3 linked regions of the Schizosaccharomyces pombe genome follow. The gene in region 3 interacts genetically with the main gene of each other region. Each region holds a gene or a part of one and is shown on either strand. Other genes may lie near its edges. The genes, in order: lsd2, ppc1 and sir2.

Region 1 (8,141 bases), on a different chromosome or scaffold from region 3:
AAGACATTTCTCCACTGATACAGCAAGTTTGTAAAAACGGAACCTGTGCTGGAGATGGATTCTGTAACGGTACGGGTGGCAGTGCTTCATGTACTGGTTGTCCTGCTTTAAATAATCGTATAAGAAGTCTCAATGCTTCTAAGTCTCAGAGCGGACGCAAAAGTCTATCTCCCAATCCTAGCAGTGTACCCTCTAGCACTGAAACCAAAGCTTCGCCTACACCTCTAGAATCGAAACCTCAAATCGTTTCAGATACCACGACTGAAACTAGCAATGGCACTAGTAGACGACGTTCTAGTCATAACCAGCATGAAGACTCATCTCCTCCTCATGAACCAAGTGTTACTTTTTGCCAAAACTGTGCTACCACAAATACTCCTTTGTGGCGCCGCGACGAGTCGGGTAATCCGATCTGTAATGCTTGTGGTTTGTATTACAAAATTCATGGGGTACATCGTCCCGTTACCATGAAGAAGGCAATCATTAAACGTCGAAAAAGGCTGGTTTTTAACGGTAATGCGAATGAGTCGCAACACAACTTAAAAAGAATGTCAAGTGGGGATTCCGGATCTTCCGTTAAGCAACAGTCTACAAGGGATGGTCCTTTTTCTAAATCTTTTCCCAATGGTAATGGCCATGCTTCTGGAAATTCTGGTGAAGGTCTGGCTGAGCATGGAATGAATACTGGAGTATTACCTCCGGCTAGTACATTTCCTTCATACAACAGCAATTTTACCGGGTTCTTGCCTTCTTCGTTCAATCCTTCACCATTGATGACATTGTCACGGTTAGCGGCTGGTGAACCTGATAATAATGGGAAAGTTTATTACTCATATGGTCCTACTCAGGAACAATCAATATTGCCTCTTCCTGAGAACAAGCATGAAGGATTGCCTCCTTACCAAAATGAGTATGTTCCCAATGGTATACGAGCTAATCAAGTAGTATACCCTGGTCAGCTTGTAGCAGTTGGCAATGATTCTAGTAAGCAATTATCGGAATCTACAACATCGAACACGGATAATAATGGCGTTGCAACTGCCAACCAATCCAACCCCTTAGGCATGAAGTTTCATTTACCTCCTATCCTTCCTGTTGGCGAGTCAGTCTGTTTGCCTCCTCGAACTTCTGCAAAGCCAAGGATTGCTGAAGGAATTGCTTCCTTACTTAACCCCGAAGAGCCACCCTCAAATTCCGACAAGCAGCCATCAATGTCAAATGGACCGAAATCAGAAGTTTCACCTTCGCAATCTCAGCAAGCTCCTTTAATCCAATCCTCTACCTCGCCGGTTTCTTTGCAGTTTCCTCCTGAAGTTCAGGGATCAAATGTAGATAAACGCAATTATGCTTTGAATGTTCTTTCGCAATTGCGTTCTCAGCATGATTTAATGATTCAGGAGTTGCACAATTTAAATCAGCACATTCAACAAATAGATGAATGGCTGAGGTCCTCTGACAATGAAAATATGGCTTCTGAACATATTAAATCCTCAACCCCTGCTGTTGTTGCATCTGGAGCTCTTCAAACATAAACTTGATTGGCATGTTTGTCGTGCGGCATATTTATTTATGGTAAACAAATTAGATATTATCCCGTTTAGCTGTCTATTACTTACAAGCATGACATTGTATACTATGAGTTTAGGGTAAAATACTTCACATGATTCTTATTGGTCTTTTGTTTTGCGTTAGTTTTGGTATTGGCCAAGTCCGTCTGCGGTGTTATATTCGTTAAGAGCTGGAAAATAATATTCAGTCCTTAGCGATTTACCGTTAAATTTAGAGTTAACATATATGTTTTTAATGAAATCCTATGTGGAGCATTTTTTATGATATTAATACGCATCGAAAAAGCAGATATTGAGAAAAAATAATACTACCGGATTTATATGGTATGTAGATAGTTAATATATTAAATATATTTAAACTGCCCGAGTGCAAACTCATTTGGAAATTGTCAATTCATTAATATATTTTTACAATTTTTCGGGGGAAAAAACATTTGTATACAACTATTTAAAACGGAAAATGGAGTTGCTTGTAAAAAGCAGTATCCATGGTTAATTAGTTCATTCGCAAAAAGTCATTGCTTGACTTTTAAAACTATATGATTAGGCTGAAATTTTAATTGTTCATTACAGCACATATATAAAAAACTTACACTTAATTTTCAGCTCAAATAACTTCGCTATTCATTATTTAATCTATTTAAATCAATAATAATGTAATTATGATATATATCATTTAGTTTTTCTGTTAACAACCAACAGTCCCGTGTTCTAGTGGTATGATTTCTCCTTCACACGGAGAAGGTCCCGGGTTCGATCCCCGGCGGGACTAGACTTTTTGTAAAATTCAACAATAGCGAACTTGAACCATAATGAGATGTTTTAGTATAATATTGATAAACAGTTAATCTACACTACTACTCTAAACATCCTAAGCTTTTCTGAATCTTAACAGCAATGTAACATATTTTTGGATTGTTATAATAATTTACTCCATTTGTTCTATTCTCCGCTGACTATACTTTCAAGTGTATTGTAATATTGTTTTCTGCAAGTTGAAATCAACGAGTTTAGGTAGTAGTCTTTAGCATGAAAGAGCTAACACATTAATGCAATAATTTGGAAAATGAATACAAATTAATGAACTTCACATTTTTCGTTCATCATTTCCAAAGTGTTAAGCCTGTAGAAGAGAGCAAATGCGATCGTAGAATAATACTCGCAATATGAATCAGATAAATAGGCAATTGAATGCCTCTCGGGCGTTCTTCATGGTATTCAAATAATTAAAGACACATGTATTATCTAAAAGAAAAATATAAATTCTGGATAGTCTGATAGATGATTGATTGGACTTGACATAAAAATGCTTATAATATTTGTCGTTATCCCATTATGCTATAATATTTAGAACGATATTTTTTTAACGAATCGTTAAGGATATGTTGCGCAAAGTACTTTGTAAACACCAAATCGAGATTCAATGAGATTTTACCACCTCGGTTCACTTTGATTGTATCTTTTTACTCTATGAACACGAGCGAGAATGATCCAGATGGTCATTATGACTTTCCAGAAATGACAGAGCATCATTCTGACCGGGCTTCATCATATGCTAACGCCAACAACGTTAATTCAACTCAACCTCAATTGGTGAGTAGTGAACAAGCGCTTTTAGCTATTTTAGGAGGTGGATTACAGTCTATCACACCTAATTCTGTTAATCAGAACGCGTATTCAAGGTCAACTTATCGTACAGATGGCGGCTTAAATTCACAGCCAGTTAGCTCACTGAACAATCAATGGGGAAACTATAATCCAGCATTTTTACCTTCTAGATATGATTCCTCTTTTCACCCTTACACAATTTCGCAAGCGGCTAATCAACCATTTCCTCAGCATCTTTTAGGCAATTCAAATGCAGGTGTCGCTCAGCAGTCTGGAATGAGAACAATTGGATTACCTCCAACTGTAGGTTCCTCTTTTCCTCAACAAAAGTCATCCACATACGAAAACTTTTTTGATGCAAACTCTCCGTCTTCTCAGCAATTTCCATCTACATATCCTTCACGATCACAAAACCCGCTTTCTTCCAGTGGAGATGGTTCAACGGCAATTCATGCAGGCCCCATTCAACACCAAAACTCAAATGCCTTTTCCAATTATCCGTATCCATTAGACGCTTCTCATTTATCTTCTCAGCAACTTTTGTCGATGTATCGGGATCAAGTTTCTCATGGAGTTACCCCATCTACATTCCGCAATCATGAAAGTTTTATGCCTACACAGTTGGTATCAGCAACAGAATTATCTAAAAGTGTTGATAACGCAGTTTTGCCAATACCACCTACTACTGCACCGGCAGTTGTATCGCCTCCTGCTTCATCTTTCCCTTTAATGTCTTCAGCTGCTACATCTGGTAATATTAGTAGTCCTGCACTTTTTGATTCAGAGTTAGGTGCTAGGCCTGAAGGTTCTGTTGCAATTGAGCCGTCTAGAGTACTGCTACAATGGTCTAGTCAATCATCATCTCATACTATACCATCTGCAGGAGCCAGTATCCCTACATCTTCTTTAAAGTCGTTTTTTGAGCATGCCGCTGAAGCAGCTCGTAAATGCAATCTCGATCCGAGGGCCTTAGAAAGTTTTGAACAACACATGCTTTCTGATCGTTTACACGATCCCGTTGTATTATTTCATTATTTCCAAATTCGTAACAGCATTTGTTGGCTTTGGATTAAAAATCCTACGCATGCCATATCCAGAGTTGAAGCTCAGGGCGTATGTGTCGATCGATGTTTGTTCCAATTAGCCTCTTTAGCTTATGAATTCCTTGTAAGGTATGGATATATAAACTATGGATGCTTGTCCTTTGATTCATCCTTTACGAATGAAACTAATACTGGCACAACATCCAGTTCTGCATCGAAGCAGAAGACTATTGCTGTAGTAGGCGCTGGTCTTACTGGTTTGATATGTGCTAGACAACTTACTGGCTTATTTTCTCAGTATTCTTCATCTTTTTTGTCAAAGAATGAGCTTCCTCCTAAAGTTATTATACTTGAAGCTAAAGAAAGGACAGGAGGTCGTATTTACTCTCGAGCATTGCCTGTTTCTCATACTTCGGCTACCCAAATTAACCATCATACATCTAATTCGAATTCTATTTCTAGTAATTCCACTTCTTTAAACCCCAAGGATGTTACTGACCCGTCCCATATTCCTTCAGCAATTGATTTGGGATTTCAATTTTTATTTTCGCCTATGGACGATATTTTGCTTAACCTTTTAAATAAACAATTGGGTATTGAAGTTACAGAGATGACTGGCTCAGATTTAGTTTACGATGAGACCGATACTAAAGTATTAGACATGGTTGAGGTGAAAAAATTAAACATTTTATGGGAAAAACTTTTGGAATATGTTTCTGTTTGCTTTTTTATTAACGTTGAGGAATCTGTTCGTATTTCTTGGATATCCCAATTTCAGTTGTTTATAGATGAAATGTTCCCTGATCATTTGTCCAAATCACTCTCATTAAATGCGTCACATGAATTTTCCTTCAAAAAAACAATGCTAATACTAATTGATGAAGTTTCTTCTTATGCCAAACTCGGGAACAGTCAAAAGAAATTTCTGATATGGTGTTTTAAGGTCGCGGAATTGGACGATACTTTGTACCCTCTTAACACAGTTGATACAGACTTCTCCAAAGATATTTTGATTCCAAAAGTTGCTAGAAGAGGTCTATCTCAACTGCCATGGGCATTACAATCTTATCCATCTCCCTTAAATATTCATTATGAGAAGTTTGTATCTAAGGTAACTATTGAAAATGATAAATGTACCCTTGATTGTAAGGACAACTCTTCTTATGAGGTTGACCAAGTTGTAATTGCTTGCTCTCCTTCTCATTTTTCTTCAAATATAGAGTTTTCACCAGGTCTTCCTAATTTCGTGACTGAAAACATAAAAAGTATAGATTTCAAACCCGGAAAAAAGGTAGGTTTTTATTTATTTATTTTTTTTTCAATTATAAAGTTAACATTGAGCAGGTTATTCTTCGTTATGCAGCTGCTTTTTGGCGAAAGAACATTAGATCATTTGGTATTATACCAAAATCATTAAGTCAAGAAATGAACAATGATGAGAATGATGGTAAATCTTGTTTTGTTTTGAGAATATGGAATATGCTTCCTGAAACTGGTGTCCCAATATTAGTAGCGGATATCAATCCACAAATGACAAGTTCTTCTTCTAACGAGACCTCCCACTTAATTCAAGAATTACACAGTCTAATAGTAGATCATTTTCAAAATGATTCAAACAGCTCAGCTGATTTATTAGATGCTTGGGTCACAAACTGGTCGAGAAATGGTGTCTATGACGGCTTAAATTCTTATCCAAATTTTGCCAATGATAAGCAGCAATATGAAAAAAGATTTAGGCAAAGTCAGTTATCGTATAATTTGGGTCGCTTGCATATTGCTGGAGACTATATATTCAGTTGCGTAGGCTGTAGGACATTACAAAGATCCTTTTTATCTGGCCTTTCCGTATGTACAGGGATTATTGATTCATTGGCTCCAATTTCCTTAACCATACCTATCATTGGAGAAACCTCTCGCAAAGAATTGGATCAGTTTTTGCGAAACTCTAAAGTTAATAATTTTGATCCCAATGCTGAAGCACAGCGTCACCTTTCTTATCAGGCAAGATATAGGTTGAAAAAGCAGGAAAGACTTGACGAGCATAAGGAAGAACAGGAACAGCTTGTAACTGAACTTCTTGGTTATTTACCTGAACCTCCTTCCAAGCCGAATGCAAATCCCTTTTTACTTTACCAAAAAATGCAGTGGCATGTATGCCGTGCACTTGCTGATGAAGACAAGCGAAGGTTAACAGGAGATAGTACAGCGAAGGCTACTATTAATGAAACACGTGCCAAACTAGGGAAAACTTGGCGCCAGCTTGATGATTTAGGTAAAAAACCTTGGATTGATGAAATTGCAGCACAAAGAGAAGCTTATGCTGGAAAAATTCTTCGTTATCAGCGCCTAACTAAAGAATATGAAATGAGAGCCGAGCAAATACGAAATGATTATGCGGCCAAATGCCAAGATGAACCTATTCCCGATGATGAAGCAAGATTGTTTATGCAAGCTCAACGAGAAGAAGAGCAAAGAAAACAAACTCAGGATGACAACATTTCCAAAAGTCGAGAGGCTAGCGACGAAGAGTATCATGACGATGGATCTTCTGATTCGGGTTATAATGGAACACGATATTAAAAGAAAAAAAATCAAATCACATATTGTTTTTTAAAAGTTTAGTTACTTCGCATCATTACAAATACCCTTAAAATTTTATGTACATATATATTCTCGTCATGCCCTAAATGAAGCATTTTATCAAATTGCTAATTTCAGCAAATTGTTTAAGGAAAATCTAAAATACATGTACACTTCTCGTTAGCCAGTAGCCAACCTGATTTAATGCCGAAGATGTAAGAGATAAAAGATGATATCGTAAACACAGCTACTACTCTCACTCTTTAGGATGTAATGCATGTTACCATTTTGCCATTAACATAATATTCAAGCAACAAATGATATTACTAGTACGCTTGTGAAATAAATAAAAAAATAAGTTATTAGAAAAAAAGTAATTAAAATTAACTAAGAATCATTAAATTAAGCCAAAACAGATGCGGTTGTATTTGTTGCAGACACCATGGACACTATGTATCTCAAAGCAAGTACTACAACGAAATAGTTAAAAAAAAAACATAAGATGCATATGATATTAAAATAAAATAATATAAAAATGCCGAGTTATTGACTCCAGTCCATATTTGGACATGTATAATTAAAAGCATTATCCAAAAGTTAATAGGAGATGGCATCTCAATTGTCAAAAAAAAAGTGGTTGTTATAAAGACTCGTAATTCAGGAAGTCTGTTATAAATAATTAAAGAGACTGTAAGACTTCATTGATAAGAACATCGAATTCTTTAGCATACGCCATGTTCAAAGCGTGTGGATCTTGTAGCATATTGTCGTCAGGCAAAGGGGAGCTAAGACTTGAATCTGAACAGTATGATACGGAATTAGATCGTTCATAACCCATTGGCAAAGTAGCTAGATACAGAGCATTGGATGAACTTCTTCTGGAAGGCGATACGGCACAGTGATTATTATGAACTTGATCTTCAGCAGTAGGCAAGCTTTCAGAAAATGATAGATTTCTATGACATGAAAGAGCTGAAAAGTCACCGGAAGAAGATGACGAATGACAAACTGTTGTAGCAACAGTCTTACCAGGAATACTGTACATATTGGAATTCTCAACCACCTCTTCTTCATCCATAAGGTCGTTTGGTTCAATCTTAAAGGTCAACTTCTCACCAGGTGCTAAATTGACAAAGGTGACGTTGTTGTCTGGTGAACAAATGGTAGAAGGAGAAACATTAGAATTGGTGAGTGGAGAAGATAAAGGACTAGGTTGATTTCCTGCCAAAGATGGAGGTGAAACGCCGTGTTTAACAGGACAAAACGAGGCAGTCGGAAGTGAGGTAATGCTTGACATTCGACGTTGAGAATTGAAAGAGGTATTCGGGGCAGTGTAAGAACG
Region 2 (5,605 bases), on a different chromosome or scaffold from region 3:
TGCAAGTTTCTTTTGCAAAAGACTGGGCCAAATCCAGAATTAAGCCCGGAGAAGAATACCCTGTGATTTACCCATTTGATTGGACTTATTATACTGATTATCAGGGAACTATACAACGTCCAAATGCAAAATTCATTGAAATTGATCAGGTAATACCTGTTCAAAAAATACTTAACGCAGGACAAAATTTATGGTTCAATGAGATAATTCTTTTCGAAGATGAGTTAGCAGATAATGGAAAATCAATGTTTGATGTGAGAGCTCGAGTTGTTCAGGGTCATTTAATATTGTTAGCACGCCTTGTCGTACGTTTAGACAAGGTAAATGTTCGATTGAATGAGACGAGGATATATATTGATTTGTTGAATGATTTTCTCTTGAAGGACTGCCGTAAAAAGCAAGCTACTTACGACAAAATTATTAAACAAATACCTGTGGGGGGAGACAAAGCTGCATTGCTAGATGATAACAATTGGTTAAGTGAGCGCCTTGATACCGTTGACCATAAAATCTATAAATTGAATTTTTGATGCTAAAATGATTCGCTAATGGCAGACATGAGAATTTAGAACTTTTGTCAACGAATGAGTGTTGAAGCAATTTACAAGTTTATTACGTTTAGTTCATGGTAATATTTATAATCATTTTCAACTAAGAGGTTATTAATTTAGGTTTTCTAATTGAGAAAGCAAAATAAATAGATACAATCTTTGGTACGATTAAACGGCGAAGATATACTACTGAAACTGCAAACAAATTTAAAATGGTCCAGTAAATTTTAGAGTATACTTAATTAGGAAGAATGATGGCCTCGTAATATTGATCGTTCGTTATAACATTGTATTTGGCAATCAACCTGTCACAACCTCTCTTCCCCTTTATATTGTACGACATTAATCGATCCGTTTTTTATTTCAACCCAACTCCTACGTATTTATTTGCAGGTAATAATTAATTTTATTAATTAAGAAAAGATTATCAAAAGATCCTTATCGTCATTCAGTAATGAGTCGCTGCTGTTTAAATTTGCCATTGAGACCAGCATTTGTTAAGCAGCCGGTATGGGGGAAGAGTATATACGGTCCCTTAAGAAGAAGATTTTCATTTTCTCCAATAAATGTTATTAATCATTCACCTTCGGAAACGAAGAGAAGAGACCCAGTAGAAGAACTCAGATACAAACCCCTTACACCTCCTCAAGATCCACGTAAAGTGGCTCCGCCAAATAGTTTTCTAAAGAAAATAAGTCTTATTTATCAAAAATATATCTCTCCTAAACAAAATTTATATTATGAGGCTACTGGTACTGCAAGATACATGTATTTTGAGGCTGCTCGACAAGCTACCCCCGAAAAAAACTCGCTAGGTGCTTTTGAATTTTGGTACCAGAAGTGTGAAATTCCTATGACATTTCAGTCTTGGTTTCAAATAACGCAATTACATTTGTGGATCCTCCATACTCGCATTCGTGGTTTGCCAAAAAATGAAAAAGTTGCCTTTTCACAGGCATTAACTACTCGTTTCTTTGAAGACATGGAACTCAGAATTCATAAAGATTACCGCATTAATAGCAATCGAATTTCTGGTATGTATCTGAAAGATCTGTTTCAGCAACAGACCGGCGCCATTTTTGGTTATGATCAAGGAATGCTGGGAAGTGATGCTGTTTTGGCTACATCCGTTTGGCGTAACCTTTTCGTTGGTCGCCCAGACGTCGACTTAGTAATTCTTGAGACTATTGTTAAATTTATTCGCCTCAATGTTTATCGCCTGTCATGTTTATCAACCGATGACTTTATCAATGGGAAGGGAGTACACTTCGTCCCACCTGAAGAAAGTGCACAAACAAATATTTGATTAATAAATGATTGCTACTCTAATGATTAATAAATTGACGAACGGTCATGTTTATTATGCAAAACCATGAATCTTTTTTGTAAATAATTACTTTGAAAGCTTTTACCATTACGTTAAATTGAAAAGTAATGAGGAGCTTTTGAAATATTTTATAGTAGAGAATGTTTGTCAATTTAATTGAAATCGTAGCATTATGTTGTATTGGAACTAGTATTTTAATAGCAGTTAATACCGATATTATCGATGCATTAATTAGCTACTTCTTTTCGTCTTGCTTTCCGATAAAGCTTTCTTGTTTAGCTTTATTGTATTCCGACCTGATCTGCCACTCCGATATTTCGTCTGCGCTGCATATTCCATATTAGTTACATATCCTTTTTTATACATGATTGATGAATAAGTTTCTTACGCTTTGGTTAAACAATCCTTCATCGTTTTATTTTCACTTCTACATTTCCAGGTTACGCTAAAAGTCCTGCCAGTAGCGCATTTCACAAAATCTTCAATTTCTTTCTGGCAATTTTTTTTTAATAGCTTTTGGTGCTGTTTCCGAAGATCAAATTCCTCTTCAATTGGAGATTTATTCATTTTAGATAATCAGTAAAATGTTGGTAACTAAACCACGTTACCCAACAGAGCGCAAATAAATGAAAATTTTTAGTCTTAAGTTGATTAAAACACAAACTTAAAATTTATTTTAATTTTAGCTTTTCATAAAAGACAAGCACGAGTTGAATAAAAAAAAAAGGCCTTAAGTGTAATACAATCACAAAGTGTCGCGTTTCAGTCGTTTGTGGTGTCGCTATCGTCTACATTGTTCAATAAACAGACCACTACTTGCTGAATTTACAAGCTGCTAGAGAACTGTTTGGTTAGCATTTCAGATTTTGTGAGTTCTCTAGTCCTATCATTCAGCAATAACGCATACAGTTTTTTAAACGTCGTTTGTTTATTTTTGAGCTCATCGTAAGAGAGGCATTTCTGGGTTGCGATACTCTTAGCTATTTAGAATATATGCCAGAAATGGATAAATCTAACGATTTCTTTGAGGAGAATCCTTGTCCTAACTCACTCGGTGATGTCTCAAGTCTGATTGAAGATTTTATAAACCTTCAATCAAACTCCCAAAACATTGCATTTGTTACTAGTGGCGGCACACTTGTGCCTCTTGAGCAAAATACGGTGCGTTTTATCGATAACTTTAGTGCAGGAAATCGTGGTGCAGCATCTGCTGAATACTTTTGCAAGTCTGGATATTCGGTCATTTTTCTGTATAGAAATTATAGTTTAATGCCATTTACTCGACGATATGAAGGTCCCTGGACAAATTTGTTTGAAAGAAGTAATGGCAGTCAGGAGAAGCCTTGGATTGTCAAACAAGAGTTTCAATCGACAGTATTCAATGCACTCAACGAATTAGATACATATACGAAACATCATCGACTGATAATGATTCCTTATACTACACTCACAGAATATTTGTGGTACCTGAAAGCTATAGCTGAACGTTTACAGATAATCGCTTCAAGAGCATTGTTTTATTTAGCAGCTGCTGTTAGTGATTTCCATATTCCACCGAAGGAATTGAGCGAGCACAAAATTCAAAGTGGTTCTGGAAGTAACAAATTAGAAGTCAAAATGCATCCGGTTCCAAAATTTCTGCGTTTCTTGGTTGACACATGGGCTCCTGAAGCTTCTATTATTTCCTTTAAATTAGAAACCGACCCTAGTATTCTGATTGATAAAGCAAGAGTAGCTTTACAACGTTATAACCACCAGCTGGTGATCGCCAACCTTCTTTCAACAAGGAAACGATCTGTCGCGTTTGTAACCTCAAAAACGGTTGAATGGCTTCATTTGAGCGACGATGACATTGTAAAAAAGGTAGAAATCGAGCAATACATTGTTTCGAGGGCAATTTCGTTGCACAAGGAACGAATTCAAGAGTTCGCAAAGGCACCTTAAATTATGTTTATTGACGATTAGTCGATTATGAACTTATAAAAAGTACTAGTTATGTTTCTTATCTGCTTTAACTTATATGAACTATCGGTTTTTCTTTTAAACATTTTACTCATTTATATTGTTAGGGTTTATTATGCAAACACCAGTGGTACTTTTTTATTTCTCTATCATTTTCGTCTTGTTATTTTACGAAGTTGCTTTATAGCATTTGTAGAGGGGTTTACGAAAAAAATGAAAGGCTTTATAAATTGCTAATACGAGCTATGAATTGAATCGTGTACTATTGGATCTGTTGTAATTTTTTAAAAATTGCAGCTTTTTTTTTAGATACTTATTACTGTTGTAGATTACTCAGGTCTGAAGTGTGTTAAAGAATATATTAAAAATGATGATTAGTTTATAAAAATCAATGTCAGGAGTATATAGAAAGCAAAGACTTGAATTTAAAATGCGCAACAGTTATCTTGAATGAACAAAAAATAAATAGTGAGTACCTGTAAGTAGTAAGCGTATATGATTGTTTCTAAAGCCTTCAGTTCTTTTTGAGATCCCATACTTCTTATGAGTCGCTTCAAACCCCATGACTAAAATGCTCATGTTTAATTGCAAGCTCACGTACACAAACAACGGCGATTGTTATATAGTTCAATGAAAAACCTATGAGATTTCAATTACTTTTAAAACTGTTAGAGAATCAGAATGCAAAGGTTGGCAGCTCGAAAATGTCGAGGATAAAACAAATATTTAAAAAGGCTATTATGGCTTTTACAGACATTGGTAAATAATTTTCTTTATAAATATTTTAGTAGTTTTTAATGTATATGAAGTCGCAATGGTGTAGTTGGGAGCATGACAGACTGAAGATCTGTTGGTCATCGGTTCGATCCCGGTTTGTGACACTTTTTGTAAAACAACACAAGTTTATGTAAAGAATTCTTTATACAAAACTGGAAAAAACTATAGAACAAAGCTGCAAACGTTTTTACGATAAAACTGACCTATGACTTATAATCCAGTTCCTCTGCTTCCTATTGAGACATGTTAAGACGGTTAATCATAAGATTCCATTCTGGATGAATTGCACCATTCATTAATCGTGGTTCTTAAGCTAAAAAGGAAATTATTCCGCATCAAGGGATATCGCTCTAAATTACGTTGGATAGAATGGTTTTCTGGATCAAGCGTATTTTGTTTATTAAGGATGCTGCATTAAGAACGAAATTTAGGAAAACTGTATTCACCTTGACGATTTTGAACGTGCAATTGCTCAAGTAGGTGACCGAGCATCTAAGTTTCTTATTAAATCCCAAAAAAGCCTAACGTTTGTAGCAGAATCTTGGGAAGTCGATAACAATTACATCATTCACAAGCTGTTAAAAAAAAATACTTATAACTTCCTCTTAAACCACCTGATTATCTTTACCACTTTATTATTCAACAAATTTTAAAGATCGTGAATGTTCAAGGTAAGAAATAGAAGCGATTAGTTTTTCCATAAATTAGTTTATAAGTTTTGCATCATGATTCATCAATGACTTTTTTCAATCTTTTTCTGTAAAGAACAGGAATTCACAGTGTGATCACAATCACTTTTTTAATTCCCAAAATGCTTTTTAATAATGAATTGCAAATGCGCGATTGCTTACTAAAGTCACGGCAAAATTAAAACACTCAAAGTTCAATCGTCTCAGTCGTTTGCTATGTTCGCCACGGTTATCTTGAAGCATATTGTTAAATCTTCAATAAACAAATAAACAAAAAAAACATATAGTTGATAAGGTCG
Region 3 (6,642 bases):
ATTATCCTCTCAGTTTATTGCTCCCTTTAACTCGTTCTGCTCAGCTCGGAGGTTGTTAAAAAATTTCTATTCCATTTTCACTCTCTTTAACGTTTTTCGTTGAAAACAAACTTTGCCCTGTTGAGTTATATCTTGTATCTTTCTCGTACATTAAAATGTCTTTAAACAATTTATCTAACTCATATAATCAATATCTTGCTCAAGAATCTCACCAAATATTGAGACATCTTTTTCTTAATAAGCAATATAGTCCATTGGTAAAAAGAGACGATGATAGCTCTGCTACTGTGACTTGTGGAGGTGATGCCAATGAATTCAACGAATATGGTCATCTGGGATATCGTATTGGTGCCATCTTTGTTATCTTGGCTACTTCATTAATTGGCATGAACTTACCTTTGGTCCTTTCTAAAATCACCAAAAACAGACCCAACGTTTATATTGAATATCTCTATCTATTCGCTCGTTATTTTGGTTCTGGTGTTATTTTGGCTACTGCTTTTATTCACTTGTTAGCCCCTGCTTGTAACAAGCTTTACGATCCTTGTCTTGACGACCTTTTCGGAGGTTACGATTGGGCTCCAGGTATTTGTCTTATTTCTTGTTGGTTTATTCTCTTGTTGGAGGTCCTTTTGAATCGCTATGTGGAATGGCGGTTCGGTATGGAAATCGGCGATCATCATGGTCCAACTCTTGGTGCCAAACAACACAGTCATAGTCACGAAGACGGTGCTCACGGTGTTCATGAACATCCAGTTTATGATATTGAAGAATGTGCCGATGGTGTTGAGCATGAATGTGTAAAGGATGACTTGGAAGAAGTAAAACTAGAACCTTATACGAATACTGATAGTACCGATTTGACTACTAAAGAAGAAGCTCGTAGTTTCTTACTAAAGCAACAACTTACTGCCTTTATAATTCTTGAATCTAGTATCATTTTGCATAGTGTTATTATCGGTCTTACAACTGCCGTCTCAGGTGAAGAATTTAAAACTTTATTTCCCGTCATTATTTTCCATCAGGCCTTTGAAGGTTGTGGTTTAGGTTCTCGTTTGGCGGGAATGGCCTGGGGCCCAAAAACTGCATGGGTACCTTGGGTGTTGGGCGTTATCTATTCGTTGGTTACGCCTATTGGTATGGCAGCTGGTTTAGGTGTTCGTGAGCATTGGGATCCTCTTGCTCATGGGTCTTATGCTGCCCAAGGTGTTTTGGATGCTATCTCATCTGGAATTTTGGTTTATGCTGGTTTAGTGGAATTACTTGCACACGATTTCTTATTTAGTCCTGAAAGAGAACGTAACTGGTATAAGCTTATTTACCTTTTGGCATGCTCGATGGCTGGTACTGGAGTTATGGCTTTGTTAGGTAAATGGGCTTGATTTGGTGGCTTTTTCGATGATCCGTGCATTTTATATTCTTCATTAAATCTGTTTTCTTCTTTTGAGTTTGAGTGTCAATATCGTTGACCAATTTCTAATTGTCCGTTTTCAGTTGTTTCTCTTTAGTATCGTACAATTAGATGCTTCATTGGTTGTATTGATATGTACCAATCAATCTTTCAATTTTAAATAATAATTGTGTCATTTTCACTGATTTACTATGCTTAAAAAAGTAGCTAATTTTGCATAGCCTATGAATGTAATTTGCTTCAATGTTCATTTACTAATTACACAGTCCTTGGTATTGTAAAATGTATTATAACTTGTTTTAATGTGTTTTCACCCAGTTTAGCAGATTTAAACATTAGGTGCGAAGAGAAAAAACAGTTTTTAACAATGGCACTTACAAAACTAAGAAGTCTCAAACGGATAATAAGTTAATGTCCAATAATCTGGCTCTCATACTCGATATATGTATATAATATATTTGCTTCTACATTCAACTTCGATAGATCGATCAGTCCTAAAATTAACAACTACCGTTTGTTGTGCTCGTGATATGATAGGTGCTGGGCTCCTCAAATTTTATATCCAAATCCGTTTCGAAAGCTCGCGTTTTGGAACCACTATGACACTCAGGTAAATCGCAAAGCGCTTGTAATTCATTCAGCCATCCAGCACGTTTACAAATCTCCACAATAACCCAATCACAATAAGGACTTAGAAAATTTACATCGAATTGGGTATGACGAACAGGAGTCCTCGAAATGTAAATCTGAGGAGTAGTAGGAGGAATAACACTGATGAGTTCTGAAACAGGAGCCACTTTTAAAGAAGTTCCAATACAAATTAATAAATCAGTCTCTTCAAGCTCACCACTCCCGACTTTGTTAAAGAAAGAATCCGGTAAGGCTTCCCCAAAAAATGTGATATCAGGTTTCATAATCCCAGGTTGAGCTAGATCATCTTCAGAAGATTCACTATCACCATCTGAAAAATAATGTTTCTCTTTTTTATTTTGACCGACTCTTCTTAATTTTAAGGGTGGTTTTCCGCATTCATTGCAGTAAGAAACTCTTTGATTTCTTATGTCTTCATATAACTCCGATCCATCCACCTTGTGCTTGCATTTGATACAAGTTGCGGTAGCAAAAGACCCTATATAATCAAATTAGACAAAATCACCAGTGCTCGAGATGCAAATCGGAAAATAAATACTTACCATGACATTGAATAATTTTGTTATCGGAGAGTCCAGTCTTTTTTTCCAAATTGTCTATATTTTGGGTAAACAATGTTGATAATTTATTCTTCTTTTCAAGCAATCTAATGAAGGCATGCGAGGGGGAATAATGATTCGTCTCCGGCAAAAGATCTCTAGCAAAAGTATAAAAAATTTCTGGATTTTCTCTAAACGTATGGATATCAAACATTTCAGAAGGTTCCGATAATCCATGGCGTGCCAAACGGGCATAAAAACCATTGTCTGAACGGAAATCTAAAATTCCCAAACTTGTACTTATGCCTGCCCCAACAAGGACGACAACATTTTTAGCTTTTTTCAATAAATTAACAACATCTTCAAAGGTATTAAAATGTGGAAGTTTGATTCTCCTAGCAACCTCACGTTTTAAAACTTCCTTCAGCAAAGGAAGTAAACTAATTAGCACGTTAGTATATCGATAGCAGATATTTTAAAAAATAAAAGATAAAAAGATAAGAAGGAAGTTAAAGAAAAGCATACTCTATGTCTTCAAACTCTTCAAGTGCACTAGGCTATTTACGTTAATAAATCTAGGTAAAGTCATAAGAAAACAAAACATGCAGTAGACCAAATTATTATTGCAATTTAACAAAAATAATCTGCTAATTTAATGTAATGCAAGTTATAAATCAGTAAGCATACCAAATTGATTCCAAGTTTTTTTAAAATCGATCGTACAGGCAACTCTTCTTCTATTAAATATTTCTCCAAGAATTTCGCATAGCCTACAAATACTAGTTAAAATGTAAATTAAGTAACTCCTTACCTGAAGCCCTTAAATATCTGACCATTTCGGATCGTTCATCCAAATCACTTATGTTTTCTGTTTCTAAGGAATCGTTAACTTTTTAAATAATTAAAATAAACTAAAGTATATGAAAAGCACATAGCTAACCTGAACTCAAAATCGTTGATCAATTGTAAATTTTGTAAATTCAAATAGACTTGCGCGTACCCTTGAAGGTATTGGAGTTAATAGTTGATATTCATACCTGGTTTATCCCATTCATCAGAATCAACCTCTTCATCCTCAGTTTCTTTACTGCCGCACATAATATCTACTAGTAAACTAGCACCGGAACTACTACCAGAAGAGCTAGGAGAATAACTAGCGACTGGAATTTTTTCCTCAACGGGAGTCGTCGGCATATTATTATCTAGCGGATTGGAAGCCATGACAGAGTTTGTATAACATGAAAATATGACTAATCAATTATTTTTAAGGAAGTATAAATTAAAGCTTCGTTTGAGAAAGGCAATGATCTACTGAACTGAAGATCTCTGGTTCAACTTTTCGATAAGTCTTATTACAATTACGAAAAGCTAGTCTCTTGTTTAGTGCAGTAAAGTTTCGTTAGCTTAATGGTATGCGGGCAACTGTGATCTCGTTATTTCCTGGTAATAATGGCTATTAGAAGCAAAGCACTGTATAAGTTTAACTATACAACTTGTTAATTTAAACGTTGCTTTGAACCATGAGAACTGGAATGCGTATTAGTATGCAATGCGCAAGTGTAGAAAGTAATGAAATGATATGATAGTGATTTACCAAATGTTAAAGTTAATCATGTAAATTCAATTTAAAATCTACTAAAAGTATGAGAGCTAATTCTGCTTTGATTTTATAAGGAATTACGAGCACTTTCTTACAAGCTCGACTTTCTTGAATGGACTGCATTAATTAATACCTACTAAAATAAATGGAGGTTTTTCGTAAATAACAATGGATTATTTGATAAATTTAAGATTCAATGTTTCATCATACTTGAATTGCTAATAACTAAAAACGATGTACTTAGCTTTTGTTAAATTGATTCTATCTATTCGATAAAGTTCATTGAACATTTTAATGAGAAAACAGTACTTCCTAAAAAGTTTATATACTATATTTTTATAAATAAATAAAATATATTAAGATTAAGCATATCATTAAACTATATCATAAAGTATCGTTAGAACTTTCTCATTTGAAATACATTTATTCCAATTCTTCATCATTAACATCGTCGTCAATACCATCCATGTCAATATCAGCAGAGCCGTTTGCATTAGCTTCATGATTTGGTTTGACAAATATCTTGCCATTTTGGACTACGACATGAGCAGTCTCCTTATCGCGAAGCTGGCCATTCAAAATTAAGACAGCCATGGGATTCAAAACTTGATTTTGAATGACACGGTTCAAAGGTCTTGCACCATAAGCAGGGGAATAACCAGCGCTTCCAAGAAGGTCTTTAGCTTCGTCGCTAACCTCGATTTTAATTGAGCGATGATTGGATTGAAGCCGTTTCTGAACCTCTAATATACGATTTTCGACAATATTGCGGATATCCACACGACGCAGACGATTAAAGATAACGATTGAAGAGATACGATTCAAAAATTCGGGACGGAAGAAGCCACGAATCGAGTTCATAACCATTTCCCGAGTGGTACTATCTATCTTTCCATCATCAGACTCATTGTCTGTTGTCAAGTATTCAGCGCCCAAGTTAGAAGTCATAATGATAACAGCATTCTTGGCATCAACAACCTGGCCTTGGCCACTAGTGATACGTCCATCATCTAGTACCTGCAAAAGTACAGTCAATACTTCTGGAGCAGCCTTTTCAATCTCGTCAAACAAGATGACGGAGTAAGGTCGTCGACGAAGTTGTTCAGTAAGCTGTCCACCAGCTTCATGTCCAACATAACCGGGTGGTGCTCCAATGAGACGTGAAACAGAGTGTTTTTCCATGTATTCAGACATGTCAATACGAATCATTGCATTTTCATCATCAAACATAAATGATGCCAATGCCTTTGTCAATAAAGTCTTACCAGTACCGGAAGGACCGCAAAACAAGAAAGATGCGATTGGTTGATTAGGATCAGAAAGACCAGCACGAGATAAGCGAATGGCGTTTGCAACTGCAGTAACTGCTTCATTTTGACCAATTACTTGTTTACTGAGAACCTTCTCCATGTTAAGGAGTCGTTCCTTTTCAGTTGTCTTCAAACGAGTAACCGGAATACCAGTCCACCTTGCAACGATTTCGTTGATTTGATCGGGCCCAACTACGTCAATAAGTAAAGGTTCTGAGCCTGGTTGAGCGTTTGCAATCGCTTCTGCATCAGCCTTTCTTTTTTGTTGCTCTAAATATTCAATACGTTTTTGCAAATCAGGAATACCATAGTATTTCAAATCAGCAGCAAGAGTGAAATCATTACGACGCTCGGCATCCTCAGCCTTAGCCTTCAACTCATCAAGACGACGCTTAGCATCTTGAAGTTCACTTCCACGAGACTTTTCTAATTCATACTTCTCACGAATAGGTCTTGTTTCTTCTTCCACTTGTTCAGCCTCTTTACGAGCAGCCTTGAGACGTTCTTTGGAAGCTTCGTCCTTCTCACGCTCTAAAGCACGAATTTCAACGCGGAGTTGTCGAAGCTTTCTCTCAAGGTTATCAAGAACTTCGGGCTGAGATTCACGAGTAACACGAACTGCAGCCGCAGCTTCATCGACCAAGTCGATGGCAGAATCTGGAAGACGACGAGAAGTTAGGTACCGGGAAGCGAGATGGGCAGCAGTAACCAAGGCACGGTCAGAGATAGTAACACCATGATGAACCTCATACTTTTCTTTAAGACCACGAAGGATAGAAATCGTATCTTCAATAGAAGGCTCTTTTACCAAGATGATTTGGAATCTACGTTCGAAAGCAGCATCTTTTTCGATGTATTTCTTGTATTCAGCCAAAGTAGTAGCACCAATACAGTGAAGCTTACCACGTGCAAGCATTGGCTTCAGCAAATTGGCAGCGTCCATGCCACCTTCACCACCGGAACCTGCGCCCATTAAAAGATGCATTTCATCTACGAATAAAATAATGGGAGTTTCACTTTCTTCAACTTCTTTTAAAACAGATTTGATACGCTCTTCAAATTCACCACGAAATTTGGAGCCGGCAACTAAGCTTCCGACGTCCAGGCTGAGAAGCTTACAATTCGAAAGAT

The links.
Region 1: of sir2 (region 3) and lsd2, changing one suppresses a phenotype caused by changing the other (phenotypic suppression), as found in Schizosaccharomyces pombe (one study listed by BioGRID).
Region 2: of sir2 (region 3) and ppc1, a mutation in one rescues a mutant of the other (synthetic rescue), as found in Schizosaccharomyces pombe (one study listed by BioGRID).

What each region holds. Positions count from the first base shown.
Region 1 is NC_003424.3:443,732-451,872, forward strand, and holds lsd2 (putative histone demethylase SWIRM2), read left to right. Parts: upstream 1-3,038; coding exon 3,039-5,510; intron 5,511-5,563; coding exon 5,564-6,799; 3' UTR 6,800-6,995; downstream 6,996-8,141. Other genes in the region: Fe-sensing transcription factor Fep1, read left to right, coding at 1-1,532; meiosis specific arrestin family membrane adaptor Ste7, read right to left, coding at 7,479-8,141. UniProt on the Schizosaccharomyces pombe protein: Catalytic component of the SWM histone demethylase complex that specifically demethylates H3K9me2, a specific tag for epigenetic transcriptional activation, thereby acting as a corepressor.
Region 2 is NC_003421.2:1,141,308-1,146,912, reverse strand, and holds ppc1 (phosphopantothenate-cysteine ligase), read left to right. Parts: upstream 1-2,679; 5' UTR 2,680-2,871; coding exon 2,872-3,822; 3' UTR 3,823-4,297; downstream 4,298-5,605. Other genes in the region: TIP41 type 2a phosphatase regulator Tip41, read left to right, coding at 1-530; ubiquinol cytochrome-c reductase assembly protein Cbp3, read left to right, coding at 1,006-1,857; cytochrome c oxidase biogenesis protein cmc2, read right to left, coding at 2,114-2,204, 2,267-2,445.
Region 3 is NC_003423.3:3,607,735-3,614,376, forward strand, and holds sir2 (histone deacetylase, Sirtuin family, NAD-dependent Sir2), read right to left. Parts: upstream 3,953-6,642; 5' UTR 3,823-3,952; coding exon 3,639-3,822; exon of another isoform or gene 3,476-3,638; coding exon 3,413-3,475; exon of another isoform or gene 3,376-3,412; intron 3,372-3,375; coding exon 3,289-3,371; intron 3,159-3,288; coding exon 3,127-3,158; exon of another isoform or gene 3,042-3,126; coding exon 2,605-3,041; exon of another isoform or gene 2,541-2,604; coding exon 1,912-2,540; 3' UTR 1,483-1,911; downstream 1-1,482. Other genes in the region: plasma membrane ZIP zinc transmembrane transporter Zrt1, read left to right, coding at 156-1,382; heat shock protein Hsp104, read right to left, coding at 4,625-6,642. UniProt on the Schizosaccharomyces pombe protein: Involved in silencing within the mating-type region, at the telomeres, and according to PubMed:12867036 also within centromeric DNA regions.